Diceros bicornis minor: one gene and its partner. The protein of the gene in region 2 interacts with the protein of the main gene of each other region in a pairwise test. Links are inferred from orthologs where the notes say so. Each region holds a gene or a part of one and is shown on either strand. Other genes may lie near its edges.

The links.
Region 1: the proteins of BOLL (region 2) and ZNF385C interact in a two-hybrid assay, tested with the Homo sapiens proteins (2 studies listed by BioGRID). The two-hybrid records come from large-scale screens. The link is inferred for Diceros bicornis minor from reciprocal best matches to the Homo sapiens genes BOLL and ZNF385C.

Annotation. Positions count from the first base shown.
Region 1 is NC_080757.1:41,290,965-41,298,473, forward strand, and holds the start of ZNF385C (zinc finger protein 385C), read right to left. Parts: upstream 3,016-7,509; 5' UTR 2,982-3,015; intron 1-2,981. Other genes in the region: ATP-dependent RNA helicase DHX58, read right to left, coding at 5,152-5,337, 5,635-5,731, 7,046-7,236.
Region 2 is NC_080749.1:75,568,833-75,576,194, reverse strand, and holds the start of BOLL (protein boule-like), read left to right. Parts: upstream 1-4,351; 5' UTR 4,352-4,536; coding exon 4,537-4,557; intron 4,558-7,362. UniProt on the Homo sapiens protein: Probable RNA-binding protein, which may be required during spermatogenesis. May act by binding to the 3'-UTR of mRNAs and regulating their translation.

The DNA of each region.
Region 1 (7,509 bases), on a different chromosome or scaffold from region 2:
GCAGCTGGAGGGATGGTGGGGTCCAGCCCTGATCTTCTCCCAGTCTAACTTCCATCCCTCCTGCTGCTGCAGCCCCATTTGGCTCCCTCCTTGCTCCTTGGGTCCAGCGAGAGCCCACAGCCTCCCCACACTCAGGAGATAAGCAACCTCTCTCCCCCTCATCCCTTCCCTCTTAAGCATCATAGGACATTTGAAAAAAAAATTGTCCCAATTTTGGGGTAGAGAATGAGGTCAGGAGGCCCAAGGGGGAACCGCTTGTTGGTGACAGCTGACAGCCTTCATTTCACCTTGAAACTCCTTCCTGGTCCGGGTGGGTGTGTCCTAAGCCCAATTTTACAGGGGCGCTACTGCACTGGGGGAAAGGGAGAACAGGAAGGGAATTCACCAAAATAGCATTTTGGGTCACGGTCGCTGCCAGGCCCATCCCTAACTTTGCAGGGCCTGGGGCAAGAGGACAAACGGGGGCCCACATACACGTGTCTAAATATTTAAAAGTTATAAGTCGAGCTAACAACCTGTTAAGGAAAATATGTCCTAAGCTCCCACTTTGACAAATACACTTTCATAACGACCAGAAAGACCAGATTCCAATTTAGATTTCTGACTCCTGGGAGTTTTGCAGGAGAACAGGGCTGTGTAGGGAGAGAGAGTTCCACTCCCACCCTGGCGCCAGCCAACAACCTCCCTTGCTACTGCCAGCAACTCTCTGCACCGCAAGGGACTCATACGTGTATGTGGACACCCAGCCTCACATCCCAGCTCCACCTTCACGCCCAGCAAACAGCCGCCCCTTAGCTGTCTTCAGTCGTTCCTCAGGTATGGGGGTGCACACGCTAGTAGCATAACCTGCCCTGAGGAGAACCGGCCCAGGGAAGAGGCTGGCATGGGCTGAGAGCAAGCTGGTGGCCATCTGGGCAGGGAGCTCCAGAGTCACAGGTCTGGAGAATATGGTCTTGAAGGGGACGCACAAGCTCATCCACTTGGCCCTGCTGACTCCTCACCCCACAGGGAGAGGGACAGCCAGAGGAGGGCCAGAGCGGAGCCCTTGAAAGCGCCCAGCGAGGGCACGGGCACACCCTCCCTTGCCCAGGTTTAAGAGTGCTTTCCAGACCCAGCCTTCCCCGGCAGCCTCCCAGCTCAGGCCAGGGACTGAAGCTGTCTTTCCAGTGGAGGGCAGCTTGGACAATCCCCAAACAGGACCTGCAATCTCTTGTATTATTTATCTTCCTGGAAAAATTTAGTGTGGCTTGATCCCATCTTGTGGATTTCTGGAGTGGGGAGGGCAGGGAGGTGATGACAACCGGGCATTTTTTCTCATTGGGTCTCTAAGCCCATTTGCTCCCCAGAGGCACAGCCCCAAGTGGGCTCCTGCTGCCCCTGGTCCCTGCCCTGCTGGGTCCCCTCTGCTCACCCTGGAGACAAAAAAACAGGGCGACTAAGAGAGAAGGAGGCCAGGGGCCCTGGGCAGCCCAGACAGGACCAGCGGAGATCCAGAGACCAGCAGGGGGCAGGGGCTGGGGGGGTGGTAGTGGTGAAGGGCATTGCTCTCTCTAGCCAAGTTTAAAAAAAACTTCCAACCCCCTCCACCACCACCCCTCCCGCAGACCGGCTTTGCTGTCCCACACATGAGGGGACACTTATACTGGCTGAGCCCTCACCAGGCGCCAGGCACTGGGCTAAGCGCTCTACGTGCGTATTCTCATTTAATCCTTGCAGCCACTCTATGAGGTGGGTTCTATTATTATCCCCATTTTACAGGTGGGGAAGCGAGCTCAAAGAGGTTAAGTAATTTGCCCCAGGGTACACAGTAAGCACAGGTGATGGGACTCAAGTCTAACTAACCCCAAAGCCCCCGCTGTTTCGACTATAGCACATAGAAGCAAGAAGCTGGCACAGAAGCAGAAGGGATGAAGGTCAGATATGAGACAGAACTTCCTGACAACGATAGTGTGTGTGATGGAGGGAGACAATGGAATGGGGAAACTAGACAGACACAGGAAGCTCTCCCACCTGAGGTGGATCTCCGTCTGTCCCTAGGCTTGTGATGATCCCTGGGAAGTCCATGGGGTCCTGGATGAATCCAGATGGCAGCATACTGACCTCCCTCTGTTCTACAGTCCTGGGTCCTATGCTCTACCCCAACCCAGCACCAAGGCCCAAAATCTGACTCTCCTTTGTGGCTCAGAGCTCTATGCATCACATCTAAGCTGTCAGCCCAGGATCTTCTCTTCCAGGAAGACTTCCTTAAGGTCCTAGGAGGCAGGACCCTTTTCCTACAGCCCAAATCCAAACACGGAGGGTGCAAATGAACCCCACATCTACTATAAGGCCCACTTCTGTGATCACCTCCCCCACTTGGCTCTGATACATGGACACAGAGAAGATCTACTCAGTCCCCAGGCTCTCTGGGTTCCCCAGGCCATTGGGAGGATCCCCTGCTCCCTCACCCAGGCACATCAGTACCCAGGTGTAAATGCAAGATGCAGGTGCCCTGGGGCTCACCAGGAAACCCAGGACCCAGCTCAGCTAGGCAGCGGCTCTTACCTCATTTGCCCACAGAACAGAAACCGTTTGGGTCACTCCATCATTCCTAAGGGAGGGGGTAGGATGCTTCCTCACTTGGATGAGGCAAACACAGCCGAGTCAATGAGGCTCGTTACCCGGTGCCCTGCAGTCACCACCCCCGACCTACCCTTCTCCAGAAAGCTGCGCGCCCAATGCTCGGCTCTGTCCTTTCCCATCCCTCGGAGCCCGCCCCGGCATCGGGCATAGCCAGCCGAGACCCTCTAAACTTCTCCAGAGTTTAGTCCCACCCGCTAGATGCCCAGCGTCGGCGCGCAGAGCCGATAGGGATGTCCTCACTGTCCTTTAGGGTCCCCCAGTTTAGAGACGAGGGCACAGGACAGGTGGAAGGGGCTGCTTTGTTCTCCCGCGCTGCCCTCGAGGTCCTCAGCATGGACCAGCCCTCGTCGCTGACTTACCTGCGGGGCAGAGACCGAGCCCGCCGCGCCACCTGCTCTCGCCGCGCTCCGGAGCGCAGCGGCTTCGGGCTGGCGGGGGAGGAGGCGGGGCCCGGCCCGGGGGCGGGGCCTGGGAGGGGGAGCCGCGGCTGAGCCCTTCTCTGAGTCTCAGCCGGGTGGGGCGGGCCAGCCTATGCAGGTGGGCAGAAAGCGGGGAGCATCTAGGTCGCTAGGCAGGTTCTGGAGCTCTGGCTTTTCTGAGGCTGGTAAGTTAGCATGCCTGGGTCCTGAGAACCTCACAAAATCCCCTCCTTCGCGCAGCTTTGCCCAGATGCCCTGGAGGCAGTGGCTCCATATGAAGACCCCCTCACTGGAAGTGGAAACCCCGGGAACCCCTCGTTGCCTGAGTTGCCCCTTCCATCTGAGTTTAAGAAAGCTCTCCCAGCCTGGCAAGGTGGGTGCCAGACAGGACACCCCTTCTAAAGTCAAGGTCCCTCATCTAGGGGTCAGCTGTGTATTTAGGGGCTCAGGCCACTGAGCAGACCATTAGGTGCCCAGGTCATCTTTATCATCAGTCCATCTCTCCCTGCAACACAGCTGCCCCATTGCCCCCAACACCAGCTCAGGTCCCTCAGCTGTCACTGTTTAGCCCTGGAATGACAGGCGTCCGGACTCCGTGTGTCCAGCCGCATTCAAGGCCACTGAGCTTAGCACCCCTGGGCTCCTGCCCCGCTTCTTCTGCCCCCAGTCGCTAATTTTATTGAACTGCAAAAGGCATGTTACTGGCAGAGGAGAGAACAACTGAAGGCAAGGTGGGGAGCAGATGGGCCAAAGAAGGGGCCCCAGGAGGTGGAGATGGGACAGGAGGGAGGAGAAGGGTGACTCCTGGAGCCAGGGCCAAGGGACACTAGAGATTAGGAGGAATAAGGGCCCTGGGCAAGAGGGGACCACTCTGCGGGGATGGAGGCCCAAAGACGATCTGGAATTTCAGCCCTCAATCGGACAAGAGGTGGTGGACGGATGAAAGAGGATGCTGGGAGAAGGAGAGAGCACTATTTCCCATCTACCCTGAGGCAGGACCAAGGACGTAGCAGGAGGGAAGGAGGTTAGATGGCAGGAAGGACTGCCATCCTGCTCTCAAATCTCTGTTTAGCCCCCTCCCTTGCTCTTGAAGGTGACTCCTGCCTGCTGGGCCTCTTACTACAGAAATAGCCCTCTCCCTGAAGAATCAACCTAGATCTTGCCTTACTTTTCCTTTCTTTCTTTCCTGCTAAAATGAGAACAGAAAATTTAGGCCTTTACAACTTTCCCCACCCCCATGCCTACCTGGACCCCACTCCACAAATCCTGGTTCTCAGCCTCTCCCCAGCCCAGGGGAGATGACCTGGGGATTAAGAGAAGGTAGAAGGGGGGGGGGGCATTGGGGTTGGAGCCTATTACGGGGTGTAGGAGGCAGGAAGGCCTCATTCTTGATGGCTCTCAAATTTAGACTTTTGATGCTCTCTCCAAATAAGGTTACATGGGAGCCATAAAGTGGGGTGTTAAAAAAAACTTTTAACATTAAAAATGTAGCACAAAGCAGATCAGTGGACGGGGAGAGGGAAGAGGGAGGGATTACAATGGGAACAATGAAACTTTTGAGGTTGACAGCTATGTTCATTATCTTGATTGGGGGGGAGCATGTAAACATTAAAACTTATCAAATTAGACACTATAGATACATATGTACAGTTTATTTGATGTCAGTTATACCTCAACAAATCTGTTTTAAAATACCACACATTTTCTACACCAATATTCCATTTCTTTACTTTTATGGGGAGCCTCAAAAAACAGAAGTAGCCTTGGCAGGGAAGGAATGTTGAGGGGCCAAGAGAAGCTGTGTTGATTCCTAGTACAGTGTGGCCATTGTCCTGCCTCAGTTTCCCCTCCATCCAGTGTGTATGAAAGTGTCTGTGTGGTGTGAGTGGGGTCTGGGGATGAGCTATGGCCCTCCAGCAGCTTCCTCAGCGTGGCAGTCTGAGCCAGCCTGGGCTCCTGGGGTTCCTCTGTGGCTGGTCAGCACAGTGCCCTGAGCTGGTGACTCAGGCAGGAGGGGCCGGGACCCAGGCTTTGCCCAGGGGAAGATGGTGGCTGCTGCAGATTCTCCTGCCCCCTGCAGCCTGAGCCGGGCACTGCAGCGACAAGGTGGTCAGTCCAGGAAGAGGTCCGACAGGCTCTGGGCACAGTGCTGCAGGTAGTCGAAGTCAGGCACGAGGAAGGGCACGCGGGACCACTTCTTGGCCCGGACCCGCCCTTGCGGGGTCTCCAGCAGCATGCTGCAGACTTTGATGACCGGCAGCTTGACTGACTTGTAGATTATCTGCATACCCCAGGCCTGGGGGAGGGACAGAGACAGCTGGGCGTGGGTCTCTGTCCTCGGACTGGGCTTTTCAATCCTCAAGCTGGGGTCCAGGAATGCAAGGCCTATGTCTCCCACCTCAGACTGAGAGCTATCACACTGTGGGCTCCCTAAGACAGGGGTTGGACCACTCTCCTCAGATTAGGGGCTCCTGGGACAGGGCTGCCCCCCCCCCCATGCCCGTGGGGGCACCTGGATGGCAGAGGCTGGGCCTCCTCTCTCAGACACAGGCTTCTGAACACTGGAGCTGAGGGCCACGGCCCCAGCACTCACCTCCCCACAGTTCCCGCAGCTGATGGCGCCCCCAGGCCTCCAGTCCTTGAAGGCTCTGTCCATGACCACTGGCTGCTGGGAGACTTTGTAGTAGATCCTGGAGAGGAAGGAGAGGGGCCACAGCGCCCATGGACACCCGCCCTGTCCCCAGGCCTCGTGCCCTCTGCTTGCTGAGCCTCTGCCTGGGCCTTGGGCCTTTCTGCCTGTCAAGAGGCCCGGAGACTTCCCGGGGCCAGGAAATCCGATCTTCAATAAGCTCTGCCTGTGCTGCCTCCATTGCACTCCCTCCTGCCCACGTTCAGGCCTCAGCACTCCCCGCCTGGATGATTTCAACAGCCTCCCGACGGATCTCCCTGCCCCATCCTTCCATCCCGTTCCATCCTTACTCCCAACCCCATGCCACCCTTCCGCCAGCTGATCTTCTAAAATGAGTGACCTTTTAGAGCGATCTTCTGAAAATGTAAATCTGACCCTGACATTCCCTTGCTCAAAATCCATCCAAGATTCCTCATTGCCGACAGGATAAAGGCTAAACTTTCAGGCCCGACCTTTAAGGTCCTCCACAGGCTGGTCTGTCTTCCTTCAGAATCTCACACTTCACAGTCTCTTCCACTCAAGTCCACCAGAACTATTCCTGTCGCATCACCTCCGCCTATACTCATCTCACATTCCAATCCAATCCACCCTTCCAGACCTAGCCGAAATGCTACCTCCTCACGTGAAAGAACCTGTGTGAAGATCTGGCACAGTGGCCTGGCACACAGTAGGTGCCTAATAAATACTTACTGAATGAATGAATGGAGAGAAGATGGGGGAAGCTTACCCTCTAGGGGTAGAGGATGAGGGGATGGCTCAGGGACAGCCAGCCCCTCTTGATGTCTTCAGAGTAGGTAGGACCCACGGGGCCAGCTTTGGCCCCTCAGCATTTGGCATCCTGAATTCCAGCTCTTGCTCAACCACAGAGTGGCCGTGGGAGCTTGTGCAAGTCACTTAGCCTCTCTGAGCCTCTGTTTCCTCATCTGTAAAATGGAGTGGTGATAAAACCTGTCTAACCAGACTATCGTGAAAGTGCAAACTCCGTGCTTGTGAAAATGCTCTTTAACTGAGGCTGGCCCCATGGCCTGAGTGGTTAAGTTCAGTGCTCTCTGCTTCAGCGGCCTGGGTTCACGGGTTTGGTTCCCAGGTGCAGACCTACACCACTCGTCAGCCATGCTGTGGTGGTGACCCATATACAAAACAGAGAAAGACCGGCACAGATGTTAGCTCAGGGCGACTCTTCCTCAGGAAAAAAAAAAAAAATTGCTCTTTAACTTCCCAAACTCTCAAAGCACTGTCTGGTTGGGAGGGATTCTCAGTCCCCCTTCACACTCCTCCCTCCCTCTCATCCTGACAGCCCCTACGCAGGTCTCACGAGAAGTTGGGGTTCACGTTGACGTGGTGGGTGCCCTCCACCTTCCGCAGGTCACTCCCATGGCCCACGGCCACCATGCAGTTGATGCAGAGGAGCTGCACCTGGTCCGCCAGGAACTGCTGCCGCCGACTCTCTTGCTGGGCTGCCCGGGCTGCCCGCTTGACCACAGCTGCCCGCTGCAGATCCCGGATCTGGGGTGGGAGAGGACACTATGCATGGCTGGGGCCCAAGACACTGGCCCCCAGGAATGCTCCTGGGGGGACAAAGGGCTCCCAAAGACCTCAGATCATTAGTACCCAGAAGGAACTTTCCTCAACCCTCCCTGGAGCTTTTAGAAGCAGCTCCGTGGAGGGGTAGTGGGGCAAGCTTTCTTGCTGAATCTTTGCCCCTGCTTTGGAGGATTTTGTACAAAGCTGCTTCTTTGAATCTAACATGGAGCATCGTTAGTAATTATGCTGAGACAA
Region 2 (7,362 bases):
AAATAAATGCTCCTTCTACTGGAGACAGATTCTTATCAGCCCAGAGAAAGGCACCAGAGGAATCTGCAAACAAACCTTGTTAAACTAACCCTTATCTTCCTAGTTACTTCTTCACCATTTGCTATCTCTAGCCCAAACCCCTTGGTCTTGTCAATTTCTCATAAATTTATTGTTTCTTTCTCTAAAACATATAAAAGCTTCCTGCTCTGTTCACTTCTTCAGGTCTTCATTCTCTTGTGAAGGCTCCCATGTACATGTAAAAATTCAATAATATTTCTATGCTTTTCTCCTGTTAATCTGTCTTTGTCAGCTTAATTTTCAGACCCAGCCAGGAACCCTAAGAAGGTTAAGAGAAACTTTTTCCTCCCCTACAGATCAAATCTAAGGATGAGATAAGAATGGAAAGAGGATAAAAATCAGCCATGTTAGTGGTCAGGAGGTGAGAGCAGGTAGGTAAGGGTTCAATAAAGGGGGACAAGACAGGGCAAACACTAGGCCTGAGTCTACAGTGGGCAATATGTTCTGGGTGATCATTCCTATACTGAAGTTTTGCTGTATGTCTTATTTTTGTATATAATAATGTTATTTGCTCTTACTGAAATATCTGAGAACGTTCAAAGGATTTTGCAAGTGAGATGTTCCAAACATACAGTCTTCCCCTAAAAAGCAACTGAAAACATGTGCATAATTATCAAACGATACTTGTGTGAATGAATCAAGAAAAAGGTTCTCTGGCGATGACTGACTGATTGTTCTTCACTCTCAGTTCAGAAGGAAGAGTAAAATGGTGAGGGGTGGGGGAAAAGTGGAAGTTGGAGTGAGGGTTGTCTGTTCATTTAGTCTCTTATTCCACAAATATTTATTGAGTTCCTACCTTATACTGCACAGTGAGTTCTATATTGTATATTCTTGTGTCTAAGTAATTGTTCAAAGTAAACAGCATAATCAAATAAACCAATTGATTTTTACAAAGAATTTTCCAATACACCAGATACCGCTCTAGTCTACACCATCTCTGTAACATACTCTCTAAGTGTTAAGTATTGTGTTCCCTGTAGAGGAAAGATCTGAACTGACCTCTTTGCTTCCTTGAGGCAGATTTTTTTTTTACTCCCATCACTCACCTCTCCTATTTCAAATATGTAACCAACATAGAGAAAAAGAAAGCACCTAATAATCCTCCAAAATACAATAGGTTAATAGACTTGGGAACAAGAAAGAAATAAGATGGAAGCAGAGGAATCTTCTAAACATGTCTTTTCATGCTGTTTTATCTACCAAGTTAAGTCACTCCCTGGTCTAGGCTATCTCTGCACCCGGCAACTCTTCTACTGCTACACAGAGCACATGGAGTTTATAAACTTTCTATTAACTTAGCTCCTTCTCCCACTAGACCTGGGCTGCTGGCAAGCAAGAACCAGGTCTTAATCCTTGCCATATCCCCTGCCTTCGAGTAAACGCTGGTCCACAGGATGGATGCCAATGGTTACCTAGGCCTATAACCTAGAGAATGCATCAAAAGGGTTATCAAGAAAAGGACTGCCTGAAATAGATACTAGGAGTTAGACTCTGTAGCTAGAAAACTCAAAGCAAGAATCGAAGAACTGCCAGTGAGTGAAGGCAAACAAGGAGAGCAGGCTTGGGCAAATCCCTGAAACAAGAACTATGCTCTGAGGAGACTGTGTGAAGCAAAAAGATGACAATGAGATTCCAGTGCAAAACTAAGAAAATGGGATATTTAGGTTTGCAATATGTTATGTGTTGTACTTTTATATTTATCTTTGTCAGTGTCATCCCCAGTATCTGAAACTTGAGACTTCTGAAGGATCCTCACCAATCCCTCTCCATCATCACTCATGCCCAACAGTCTCAGTTTCTCTCCAGTTTCTTCTTAACCCTTTCCCAGTATTTTATTCCCATTGCTGCCACTTTTTTTTTTAGCTCCCCAATACTTTCACTAGAGTAGTATTCTCCTAATTCAATTCTGTTTCCAGTCCCTTAAAAACTATTCTCTGGTCTGAGAATATCTTCCTAAATTTTGGCTCTGATTCTATAACTTCCTAATTCAATAACCTTCAATGGCCCTCTATTTGCAAAGACCTCCAGAATAAAATCCCTAGTCCTTATTACCATTGTATAAATAACATGGCAGAGTGCACTGTGCAAGGGCAGCAGAGTCAAAAAGAACTAAGTTTTGAAAATTGCATCTACCACTTACCAGCAATGTGACTACACAAGTCACTTTTACCCCTCTAAGGCTCAGATTTCCAGAGGGAGAGAGAGGGGATGAAAGCTAAGAAGATTAAAAAAGAATGTGCCACGCCCAGTGCTGGGTACATGACAGGAGCCAGACCTGTATTTCAGCCTTGATGGTGCCCTTACCAGCCCTGGACGCTGTGCTCCTCAAAGCTGTACTCTGTGCTCCCACAGACCTATGATCATAGTGCATATCTTACTTACCCTATTCTGCTTGTATCTTATTTATTACAAGCATATTTTGATATAATTATTATTTGGAGTAGTTTTTTCTTCCCTTCTAGATTGAAAACACCTCAAGGATGAAGGTTTGATCTTGCACATTGTCTTATCTCCCACAGCACACAGCATTATGTACTGCCCATAAGAGGACTCTATAAATGTCTACTAAATTGAATTGAATCATTTTACATGATTTACCCAAGTTTTAAAATAAAAAATTCCTTTTGCTTTAAGAATTAAGAGAAGCAGAACAGAGAATAACCATACTGTAAATACAGTATATCCCGCTAGCACCCAACATAGGCCTTGAAGTATAATCAATGTTCCCTAAACTGTGTTAATTTGTGTGTCGCCAACTGAACACCTACTGTGGGGAATACAGTCTTCAAAAATAAGTGTTTTTAGTCGAAAAAGACTTGGGCAAAAGAGAGGATAGTAATATCTACTTAAATCCATCATTACTACTGGAAAAAAATGCCCAAAGAAATCAGTTCTAATGGTATTGAACAGCAAAATTCTTCTGCTCCAGAATATGCTTTAATTTGAATAGGTTTGTATTCTCTGTTTCCACAGAAACTAAAACCTGAGAAAATGAGCTCAAATTGCATGCAGAAATTATGACTTTTAAGATGCTTTAGCTGAACTGTATTCAGCGGGGGGGAAAATTATGTTTCCCATTTTATTTCTGGTAAATAACATGAAGAGCTGATCTTGGAACAGATTACAATGCAGTCACGCTGCTTATTTTTTAACTCCTTATCTTGAAAGTACAATAACCCAAAGTCAAACTTTTAAAATAGAGAGTACAAAAGTTATTACTGACGTAACTTTTAACAGTTGCTACGACTGATTCTTTAAAAATATATGTCAAAATGCTTACGTTCACGAACTGTTGCCAGAGAGACCCCCGGTTAAACCTTCTACAGCTTTAGACCTTGACCAACTTACTTAACTCCAAATCTTCATCTCCTCACCTGTAAGATGAAGACAACAGGAGCATCTATCTGAGGGGCTGCTGAGGGAATGAAAAGATTAAATGATACTACGGATGAAGCGCTGCGCCGGGCACCAAGGGCGCCATTGACAAATGCTAGCTATAACCATCATCGCCATTATTACGGAAGTTTACCTAGTCGTAATCATTTACAACTGGGTTATATAATATATACGTCGTCAATATGTTATACTGGCGATATATACCATTCTCAGCTACCTTTTGAGAAATACTTTTTCCTTCAAAGGAGACCCCGAGGCTCCCGGTGGCTCTTGCCGCGCGGCCACGGCGCACAGTCCTCACCCTCGGCGCGGTGGCTTCCTCCCGACCGGCTCCGAGGCTGGGCGGCGGGCGCTGCTCCGCGGGTCCCGGCCAGGCCGCCCCGCCCGCCCGGCGGGCATGAGTGACGGCGACAACAGGTGCAGCGCGGCGTCTCCGGAGCACCCGAGTTTGGCGCGTCAGGCCCCGGGGGTCAGAGTTTGGAAACTGCCCTCGTCGCCTGGCACCAGCCTTCCGAAGTCGCCCCTCAGCCAGCGTCCTGTACCTTAGTAAAGCCTGAGGTCACCTCCACCTCTCGAAGCCCACCCGTCCCAGAGGCCGACTTCTCTCCACAGGGGAGGAGAGGGACAGGCGCGCGGCGCATGGAGCTCTGCACGAGCGCTCGCTCGCTCCTCCCCGGCCGCCGGAAAGCAGCCCAGAGGGGCCCCAGAGCCGAGCCCTCGACCGCACCCCCCACGCCCGCCCCGACTCGCCGCACGCTCGGGCCCTGGGACGGCCCAGCTCGGCGACCCCGGGCCACCGCCGAAACCGCCCGCCCGCGCCCCTCCGCGGCTTGCGGCGCCCGCCCGCCCCGCCGCGTCGTCGCCCGCCCCTCCCCACCCCCCGGGGGCAGATTCAGGCCCCGGGTCCGAGCCTGCGCCCCTGCAGCTGCTGCCGCCGCCGCCGCCGCCGCCAGGGGGAGAGAGGCTCCGTCGGGAAACGTGGTGTGGCTTCCTCGGTGTGAGGGCCTTTCAAACTTCAGGTTTCTGGTCGTTTCCCCCGGTGGCTGAGGGGCGTCGAGGAAGATGGAGAGCCAGTGCGGGGCGGTGAGTAGGCGGCCAGGGCCCCGGCCCCGGGGAAGCGGGCAGGGAGCGAGGTGGACTCCGGCCCTGAGGGGCGGGAAGGGCGAGGGCTAGAGCCCAGACGCCGCTTGTGGGGCGGGAAGAAGCGCGGACAGGGTGCCCGTCGACCGCCGCGAAGCGCGGCCGCCTGCAGGCCCGTCGGCTGTGTCGTGGGGTCGGGGAGGTGCGGCCACCGGCCTCGACTGGGCGTAGGCGGGCCGGGGGGCCTCGGGAGCGGGCGGGAGGCCGGGCCCTGTGCGCCAGCCGATCCGGCGGGAGAAACAGCTTTCCCGCCGAAACCGGGCTCGGCGGCGTCTTCGACGCTCGCTGCAGCCAGATGCCGCCCCCCGCGAGGGGTTGCCAGGGCGGCCGACGCCCCCTCTCCCCTACTGGTCAGTGGGGACCGGAAGGCCTGAGGGACCTGGAGGGACCACCTGTGGCCCAGGTCGGACCGCACACTCCACCACCGGGTGCGCGCCGAGCTGGTCGGGGCCGGGGGGGGGGGGGGGGGGGGGGGAGGGGCGGGAGGCCGAGCAGGCCCGAAGGGCCACGGCAGCGTGCCGCCGCGCCCCGCCCCGCGCCGCCGGCAGCCAATCAGCGCGCACCACACGAGCGCCGCGGGGTTGGCTTCGCACAAGGCCGACGTCGGGTCGGTGCGGTTGAGGGTTCCCGACGCTGGTGCTGGCGGGTTCGCGGGGCAAAATTTCTCGCTGGCTAGCCTTCTTTTCCCTCCCGCACTTTGGTGGGGAGGGGGTGGATCCTCATGTCAGTGCCCAAGTTCATGATGACCTGAGGGAGCCGGAGGAAGTTGTCGCCGCGGCCATTTCCACCAGCGCCTCAACTTGGTGGCCGCGGAGGGGAAGGAGCGCCGAGGCTGTGACCACGACGGTTAGCCCGCCCTCTTGCCGTTGTTCTCGCCGGCGAAGTAGACGATAGACTTCGAGGTTAACCCTCAAGGAGAGGAGGCAGAGAGGGACATTACTTTGGTGGAAATTTTTAATAAACTCTTTAGGGCTAGAAGTTTTACTGAGCTAAGGACGCTTAATTCTGACCCAATAACAGCACCTGCCTGGGTGCTTTTCATACATTTGCAGAGTTATTGCCAGTGGAATGTGAGGCTTGCTTTATTGTTTAACTTAGTGCATCGCTAACCTCCGAGGGCCTTAGGTGTTGGCTCTACCTGAGTCTTGTTACTGCTAACATTAAATACTTTCGAGGTTGTTCCTGTTGTTCTTCAGCCCGCTGCCTAATGCTTGGCATATCGTGAGCAGGAGGAAATGATTCATTCGTTTCTTCATTCGTTCAGCAGATATGTATTGGGCACCTGCTATCTGCCGTCGCTGCTTAGATGCTGCAGCGATAAAACAGGCAAAATCCCTTTTCTCATGAACATTACTCTATAGAGACAAACAATTAACATAAGTAAATTACATAGTATGTTGGAAAGTGATAAGTGGTAAGGAGAAAAATAAAACAGTTGGAACCCACAATAGAGCAGGAGCTTTAGAAACATGAGAATGAAGTGAATTGGATGTAAAAAGTTGATATTTTTCTTTTCTCAGTATCGTTTAACTAGTTTCTCAAGACTGGAAATAAAGCACTCCTTCACTTCCGGTCACGTCATCCCTCTCTCAATGAAAAATAATGAAGTTGACTTTTATTTAAACAAATTTGAGAACAAATGAGTTCATCTATTGAACTCATTTTTTTTAGAAGAAAATTTCATGAAGACTGATTTTTTTTTAATTTTGCAAATAGGTAATTTCTACATTTTCTGGGAAAGCAGGCAGAGACAAGATTATAACTACCAGAGCTGTTCTGTTGCCTCTAGCAGTACAAATCCAGGGTTGAAAAATAAGACTAATCGTCCCAGGATCAACCATTCTGGGCACTATGTCCTACATGTAAAGTGACAGAAGTTAGAGATTACCTCCAAATGCCCAGAGAGGATGCTGTTAAGATTGGATTCCCAATTTCTTTACTTGGAAACTACAACATAGCAATTATTAAATGTGATGACTTTTCTGTGGTTTCGTGGATGTTTTTATGAACTCCCTTATTAGGGAGTGTTTTTCCCCCTTAATGCTAGGTATGGAATAGAGCCCCTAAGTCCAACCTGTAGCCCCATAGTCGCCACTGGCCTAGTCATTTCTCTGTACATCTTGCAGAGATTAATTTAGGGATTATGGCTTTACTGGCCAGTGAAGTGAAAGGTGAGAACAAATGTGAAAAAGAACAACTCTGTTACCTAAGTTGGAAATTCCTTTTCATGTATTTGTTTCTCAGATAATTGAAATTATGAACTTCAGACTTTGTGAAGCACTCATTTAGTATGTTAGACTGCCTCAGAAGTCTGTTTAGTGTTCCTGGAAGGAAAATAATTAGCAAGTTCTTGAATTAGATTCTCTTCAAAATTCTTTTCGCCAAGTCTTGTTTTTTTCCAGATGTACCTTAAGAGTCTACTATCTTGCCCTTGTGTAAAGGCTTATATGTTAATATATACTTATTAAAATCTAAATTAGGTCCTTAAAATTGTAAACAGTGAATATGTACTATGAGCTCAATTCTTTGGTATAAAAATTTATACCTATGAATTAAAGGAGTATAATTTGTTTTTACAAAATCAGTCCGATCTTCAAATTGACAAGTGCATTTAAAAATTTGACTTTAGAGCTGAAAAACAGTGAACTTGAACATCAGAGTTTGTTAACTTGTCAATGCCCTTTAGCCAGAGACCACCCGGAACACATCTGTAGTTTGATCAAGTTGGGTCTGTTGAATTGTTGCAAC